2 linked regions of the Drosophila melanogaster genome follow. The protein of the gene in region 1 purifies or fractionates together with the protein of each later gene. This does not show direct contact. Each region holds a gene or a part of one and is shown on either strand. Other genes may lie near its edges. The genes, in order: Syx7 and Vps45.

Evidence for each region.
Region 2: the proteins of Syx7 (region 1) and Vps45 purify together in Drosophila melanogaster (affinity purification with western blotting, with the first as the bait; one study listed by BioGRID). This does not show direct contact.

The regions. Positions count from the first base shown.
Region 1 is NT_037436.4:21,443,660-21,447,587, reverse strand, and holds the start of Syx7 (syntaxin 7), read right to left. Parts: upstream 1,755-3,928; 5' UTR 1,565-1,754; intron 1,428-1,564; 5' UTR 1,334-1,427; coding exon 1,213-1,333; intron 1,146-1,212; coding exon 1,076-1,145; intron 726-1,075; coding exon 581-725; intron 508-580; coding exon 91-507; intron 33-90; coding exon 1-32. Other genes in the region: Alp1 (alkaline phosphatase 1), read left to right, coding at 2,838-2,913, 3,488-3,747, 3,852-3,928.
Region 2 is NT_033777.3:9,562,160-9,566,087, forward strand, and holds the start of Vps45 (vacuolar protein sorting 45), read left to right. Parts: upstream 1-1,764; 5' UTR 1,765-1,866; coding exon 1,867-1,959; intron 1,960-2,022; coding exon 2,023-2,221; intron 2,222-2,272; coding exon 2,273-3,705; 3' UTR 3,706-3,928. Other genes in the region: CG9393 (uncharacterized protein), read right to left, coding at 16-411, 658-936, 1,031-1,177, 1,277-1,363.

The sequences.
Region 1 (3,928 bases):
ACCAAAATAAGCTTCTTCTTGCGCACTTTGTTCTAATAAACAACATATTTAAATTATTTAAAATAATAACCTTGTAGGGGCGGCACTTACCCTGTAAGAGCTCGCCTTGCGCAGATTTTCCGTGCCCTGCGAGACAAAAATGCTAGTCTGTTCCACCTGCGACTCGATGGAGTCCACCGTCAGTCCCTGCTCGTAGACCAGGGCGCCAAGCTTCTTGTATATCTCGTTCACGCCCACGATGTTGTTCTCCAACTCCCGTATGACCTGCTCCTGTTCCTCGAGGGCCTGCAGGTCCGCCTGCTCCTCCATCTGAGTCTGCATCTGTTGCTGGTTTGATTTGCGATTGAAGAAGTTGTCCTCGAAGAAGGAGTTGTTGTCCTGCTGGCTGGCGCTACTGTTGGAGCTGCCGGTACGCGATGAGCCGGGTGGACGGGCGATGTTGTAGCTATCTCCGCGCGCCTGCCGCAACGCCGTCTTCTCTATGTCCGCCGTCTTGCGCTGAACAGACTAAAAATACCAATGATAAACAATCAGCATGACTCACAAAACCATTTGCTTATCTGGGAGAACAAAAACAAACCTGGAAGGCGGTCAGTGCCGCCGTGAACTCGTCCACGAGCCTATCCCGCTGGATCTTCAGGTGGCGCTCCTTGCACTTGTCCACCTCGTTGATTTGATTGTTTGTGTCGGTCACCAGCTGGTTGGTGTAGGTCATTATTTGGTGGCTGTGGAGTAAGGGATTGTTATTTTTATCGTGCGTTATACATTGATTTGATTTGTGAATCACACTGTGCTGATACGTTTAAACTTTCAAAACCAATGACTGACTACAATGTTATTTTGCTGTTGGTTTATGTGGTCGGTTGATGTGCGCAAAATGTATTAAAAGGCTGTATTGGCTTAAGAAGATTTTTAGACATTGTGAGTAAACACCCAATAGAGATCTTCACTATGTCTTTAGAATTTATGATTTGTCTGAGAGATATTCGAATAATCGATGTATATCTGCAATGGGTTCTATCTATGGGGACAGTTTAAATTCCAAACGAAGAGATCGTAATGATAATCATCTTACAGCTGCTTCTTGAGCTCCGGAGAATCTTGGGGCGTGTTCAGTTGATTGACCATGCGCTGCATCGTGGACACTGCGAAAGAGACAGAAACCTAGATTAGTCATAGGCGAAAGTTGGCAAGTGCTTCGACGCCACTCACCATTCTGCTGCACCTTCTGGATGCTGGTGGCTATAATCTGGGCCAGCCTTTGGAAATCTATTTCGCTTAGGCCACCTCCTCCCCCGCCGCTTAGACCATTCTCCATATGCTGTAAGTCCATGCTTTCGTAGGCAGACACTTTGATGACCTTCGAGTTATCGCTGGAGACAAGTTGTTCCTGGAGAGACAGACAATCGAATTAGCCCCGTGGCCCACTTATATCACATTCGCTTTTATGCGTCTCAGCCAGGTTCTTGATTCTATATTCTATATTCGTGCTTGTTTGTTAGTTTGTCTGTTTGTCGGAATGTTTGCAATTCGCATTCCCTTTGTTTGCTGCACAGCCACACACCTTTTGTGGTTGCCCTAGCTGTCGTTGGTGACCTTCGCCGGTGACCTTGATCTTAGAGCATTTCCTTCGCACTTTTTACGCGTTTCGCAATCTGAAATTTGTTGATTTAAGTAGGCGGAATGTTCGCAAAACTGAAATTTTAGCTAGGTTTTTACAACAATTGGAATGGAACTGCCAACTTGTGAGAAAGTCACTTTCGACTAATACCCAAAAGTGCCTTAGCGCGTGATGCGTTTAGCATCACTTCCTTGCTACGCTTTACAGCACTTCAATTATATCGATATCTGGCGCGGCATTCAAATAGCAGATATATAGAACTGCATTTTAATTATATTCTTCCCCCTATATTTTGTCTCGAAAATGTATATAAGTCCTGAGATTTATTATTGAAAATCGATCCATGTCTAAAATGAACTGCTTAATGTTATTATTCAAAATTATAAATTATTATTTTGCACTTTTTCTCCAAAATTAAAATGTTAGATTAGGAAAATGTCGTATAGAAATGAAAATGACCAACAATGATGCCTTATAAAACAAATAAGTCGAATTTTAGACAGTTTTCCTTCCGTTCAATAAATATGTTCATACCAAATTTAATAATAATGTAGGTATACAAAACTATTTTGCTTACCCAGAATGTTATTCAAAACTTAAAATTTAACATTGTACAACTCAGGGTATTTGAAACCTGTTTAGCAGAAATAAAATTGAAGATTATTACTTTTCTTAAAAAAGTCAAATAACTGGTAGACAAAATAAGTGCAACTCGTTTATAAAAAAAATCAAAAGCAACTTAATTCAAATTAACGTTACAAATTAGTGTATTGGAGATATTTATCAGTATCCGGTGTTTGGCACGGTTAATGAACTTTAGATCGCAGAATGAATTAGGCTGCTTCGATGCATCCACTAATTACATCATCTCCTACTGCGATGCAAGATATTATGCAAATGACCAATGCAACGAACCTGATTTTTGGAGAACATCATTTTAATCTAAGCTGTGCTGGCTGCATAATTTGAATAAGGGCATAAATGCCTTTCTTTCATCCCGAAATTCCGGTTGGTAGGTGTATTTAGAAGCTTTATAATACAGGGACGGGTTTTAATTTATTGTCTCAGTGTTTTTTTATAATTCGACTCGCATTTTCGGTCCCTGTCTTACCGGGCTCGTATAAATAAGCCTCCAACTGCGAAATGCGGCTTAGTCGATCCGTAGACTTCGTAACGCCCCGACCAGTCGAAAGTTAGTTCATCAAAATTCCGTGCGATGCGTGCTCTCCGGTTCTTTGCGGCTCTTGCCCTCCAACTCACGGCCTGTAGCAGCCAGTACAAATATGGGCCAGGTGCGTAACGTCAAGACCGAGATCAGAAACGGGCCCAAAAGACCCGAAATGAATAAATGAAAAACGAGTGAGAGTGTGCCAGGTCGAAAGCAAACTCAAAACATATGCAGAATTGATTAATCAAGTGCTAAACGGAGTATAAAAGGCGTCAGCAAAATACTCGTAAATTGAATTAAATATTTGACACCCGCTAACAGAGCTGTCAAACATCACTTTTTCCGAAGGAGAATGTTTTAACGAAAGTGGATATAAGACTAATACTTTAAAATTTAAATTTGAATTAATTTTAATGCTTAATTTCCATAGGTTTCTTTCGGTGTTTTATTTATGTGCTATCTTCTGAAAGCAATTTCCCTTTTTAATGATTAATTCGAAAGTGGAGTGGAAAACAATGGCAATTGTGTCTGTGCTTTTGTTTTGTAAAACGAAACATGTGCTTGGAATTGATAAATTCTTGAGGTTGTACTTGAAATGTGTATGCATATCGGCTAGTAACAAAAAATGGTTTCAATTAATCAGAATAATATGCATTCTTAATTTATAATGAAATAAGCTAAAATCGCATTACTTTCAGAGCAATCCTGGGACCTCGACTCTATTTCCGAGTTGAAGAGCAAGGAGTTCTGGTTTCACGACGCCCAGCGCACGCTCTACAATAAGCTATCCACTCCACCAAACCAATATCGTGCCAAGAATGTCATATTTTTCCTGGGCGACGGTATGTCCGTTCCCACGGTAACCGCAGGCAGGATCTTCGATGGACAGCTGCGTGGAGTGGTGGGCGAACGGAATCGTCTGGAGTTCGAGAAATTCAACTATGTCGGTCTGTCCAAGGTACTTAGAAGTCAACGAAGTCATTTGTTATCTCAATAAACTGCTAATAAATTTATTAAGTCCGTTAATAACTAGACAGTAATTACGCCCTTCTGTCATTGTAGACTTATTGCGTCAATAAGCAAGTGGCTGACTCCGCCTGCACAGCATCGGCCTATCTGTCGGGGATCAAGGCGAACTA
Region 2 (3,928 bases), on another chromosome or scaffold:
GCCAAAAATACCCACCTGGTTGTAAATCCCACGCCATGCCGCAAACGCTCCCATGGCCAAGACGGCTCCCACGCCGGCTACTATTTTGGTGTTCAGCTCGGAGTCTAGGAACTTGCGCTCCGAGGCCGTCAGACTGGCCTCCGTGCCACTGGGTGTCTTTGTGAGCTTGACGGAACTGTATCCCTCGATGCGGAATATGTCCTTCGTGATGCGGTTGATAAAGTTCACTAGGTTTTGGCAGCCCTTAATGTGATTCTGCAGTGGATTGTTAGGCAGTGCGATCTTAAAGATGATGGCAAGATAGCTGTAGACAATGGCATCAAACTCGCTGTAGGTGTCGCCAAAGAACCACACCTTGCGACCCAATTTCCGGGAGAGCAGGTTCACCACTTTTTTGGCATTGACAACGAGCTGTAAAGTAAAATGATTAATTGATAGTTAAAGAAACGTCTTGCTTTTCACAACATTGATAAGATATATTGATAACAAAAGACCAATACATGAGAAACTGTTTCTTATTAATATAAACTGATGAAACGTTTCCAATCGAAATGCAGCTTGGGTGTAAAACATAGGTTAGATAAACAAATTAAAAAATCCTCGGATTTAAAGATACAATAATGTAATATGAGACAATATGAAATTGAAAGCACTCACGTAGTCGCCTTCGTGCTTGTCCAACTTGTCGTTCACATCGAAACCGGCCATCACCTGAACCACGTCGCAGGCTTCCCTTTGGTAGGACGACGGGTAGTAGAAGTTGAAGGGGAATGGCGTGCGCTTGGCGTAGAGGCCCCGCGTGGTTGTGTCAAAATTGTGAGGCTCTCCAAACAGGAAGTAGTGGTAGTAGGCATGCAGATTGGTGAACACCCAGTTGGCGTAGGCGGTGGACAAATGCTTTTGTTTAGTGCTTAAATGCGCATCTATCGGGTAACCCTGAAAGAATACGTCGAATTAAGCCCATAAAAAAACACATATCTATAAATAGAGCCTGCAGTTTGTTCACCCCGGCATTGTTTTGCTCACTCACCTCGAGATCCAGCACGCGCTTAATTTGCCTATAGCCCGCGAACTTCTGGTTGCCGATCTGCAGATACGGCAGCTTCCCGGCTCCCGAACGCAGCGGATTGGAGCTGGTCTGCACGTCCATGGGGCAGCGGGTGAATCGCAGGAGGCACTGTTTCCGGCAAAGAGGCGCTTTCATCAGTTTCTTTCATCATCTGCGATAATGGGCAAAACAGGCGTGCTGGCCGCCGTGTGATGCAACGGAACTTACCAGAGCACGTAAACATTCAAAATCTATGGACGGCAGTCCGTACTCCCCCTTGTACACATACAGCATGGCTCCCAGTTGCATCTCCATTGTGTCCTAGTCTATGCTTTGCTCGTACTCTTGTATTTAGCCGGTTTTCAACAGTCCACCTGCATATCAGCCATCCGAATTTGAATCCAAAAATATATGCCAGAATTTCTGGCCGACTGCTGCGAGTGCTTCAGACTGATAACTACTGGGCACTCGATATATCGCTCGAGCATATCGGCGCTTTATCGATTGCCGGCCAGGGATGTTGCTACTCGAAGTTTATTTTGGCTAATGAAAAGATACGGAATTATGTTTGAGCTTAATTGCTATTTATGTTTATCTTTATTGCTATTTTTATTATACTACCAAAAAATTGTAAGTTTTTATCTATATGCATTTTTACATATTCACATTATTTTACATTAGCTAGATCTAGCGAATGTTACCCAAATGTTTGGTCACCGCTGTTATCACGGAGCTATCGCAATTGGGGCATCTCCAACCCATCTGTTTGCGAAAAAAAACATTAATTTCTGATTTTCGCAGTAAATTAGTTAGCAGTCATGAATCTGATAAGCGGCATTAAGTTGTACATCGAGAAAATGTGCTCCGAGTCGGGACCGGGCATGAAAATCATTCTGCTGGACAAGGAGACGGTAAGTGCAAGGACTGACAATCAAATCCCCTGCCATATGATCAAAAATTCACATCATTCGCAGACCAGTATAATTTCGATGGCCTTTAGCCAATCGGACATGCTGCAACGGGAGGTGTACCTATTTGAGCGCCTGGACTCGGGAAGATCCAACGAGCGGTTAAAGTATCTAAAATGCATCGTCTTTATACGCCCCACCAAGCAGAACATCCAGCTACTGGCCAACGAGTTGCGGAACCCCAAATACAGCGCCTACTACATTTGTAAGTGGGTCAGTAGAAGCACCTTCGGAATAGTACTAAACTCATAAATAGATTTCAGCAACATCATTCCCCGGACGGACATTAAATACTTGGCAGAGTGCGACGAATCCGAATCGGTGCGAGAAGTGAAGGAACTGTATGCAGACTACCTGTGCGTCAACCCCAATCTGTTCTCATTAGGCATTCCCAATTGCATGGCGAATCTTAATTGGCTGCCGGACGCTCTCAACCGCAGCATGCAGGGCATCACAGCCGTGCTGTTGTCCCTTAAGCTGAACCCAGTGATCCGGTACCGAGCCGGTTCTCAGGCAGCGCAGCTTCTGGCCAAGCTCATATACGAGCAAATCACAAAAGAGTCCTCGCTATTCGACTTTCGCTCCAACATGGATGGCGCTGCGCCACCGCTGCTGCTTGTGCTGGACCGCAGGGACGATCCTGTGACGCCGCTTTTGCATCAGTGGACATACCAGGCCATGGTGCATGAGTTGCTGCACATAAAAAACAATCGATTGGACCTGTCCAATTGCCCCAATGTGCCGAAAGACTTCAAGGAGCTGGTCTTATCCGGTGATCAGGATGACTTCTATGGCAACAACATGTACGCCAACTACGGCGAAATCGGATCTACCATCAAACAACTGATGGAGGAGTTCCAGCGCAAGGCGAACGACCACAAGAAAGTGGAGAGCATAGCAGACATGAAGAACTTTATTGAGTCATATCCGCAGTTTAAAAAAATGTCTGGCACTGTGCAAAAGCATTTGTGTGTGATTGGAGAACTGTCGGCGCTGAGCAACAAGAGGAATCTCTTCGAGGTTTCCGAACTTGAACAGGAGATCGCTTGCAAGGCGGAGCACTCGGCCCAGCTGCAGAGAATCAAAAAACTAATTGCCGACGAACGGGTTTCCATCGATGATGCTCTTAAGTTGGTGGCACTTTATGCATTGCGATACGAGCGACACGCCAACTGCGACACATCTGGACTGCTGCAAATAATCAAAACGCGCGGTGGACGAGCGGCTATAGTGCCATCGTTGATTGAGTATGCTGGAACCCATGTACGACAAGGAGATCTCTTCAATATGGTGCGGATAACGGACGCCGTAAAGCTGACACGGAATTTGATTAAGGGCCTTAAGGGTGTGGAAAATGTCTTCACACAGCACACTCCTCTCCTGAAGGAAACTTTGGAGGACGTGTTTAAGGGCCGCGAGCTGGATCCCCTCTTCCCGGCCATCAATTCAGAGCTTGTGCCATTTCGACGACCACCGCAGGAGGTTGTCGTGTTCATTATTGGCGGTGCCACGTACGAGGAAGCCTTAGCGGTGCACCAGTTAAACAACGCCGGCTATAAAGTCATTCTTGGCGGCACCACCATCCATAACTCGCAGAGTTTTATCCAAGAGGTCGTGGCCGCCACTAGTGGCATTCAGTTTAAGCACACCAAATCCATGATCAAGTACTGTTCCACGGATAACATTTAAAGTCTATTTTGACTAGATAGCCCCAATTATATTGTTAACTATTTATTAACTAAATATGAATGTGCATTATGTATTAAGGTATTCCATGCATTGTACCAATTCAAATCCATTGGACTATTTAACCTTTTAAGCGTAACCATGTAAACATATTTATTGTTATTCTCGAGGGTAACACCAGGCAACGCCTTGGACAAAATGTATTATATACAACTATGTGTGTACA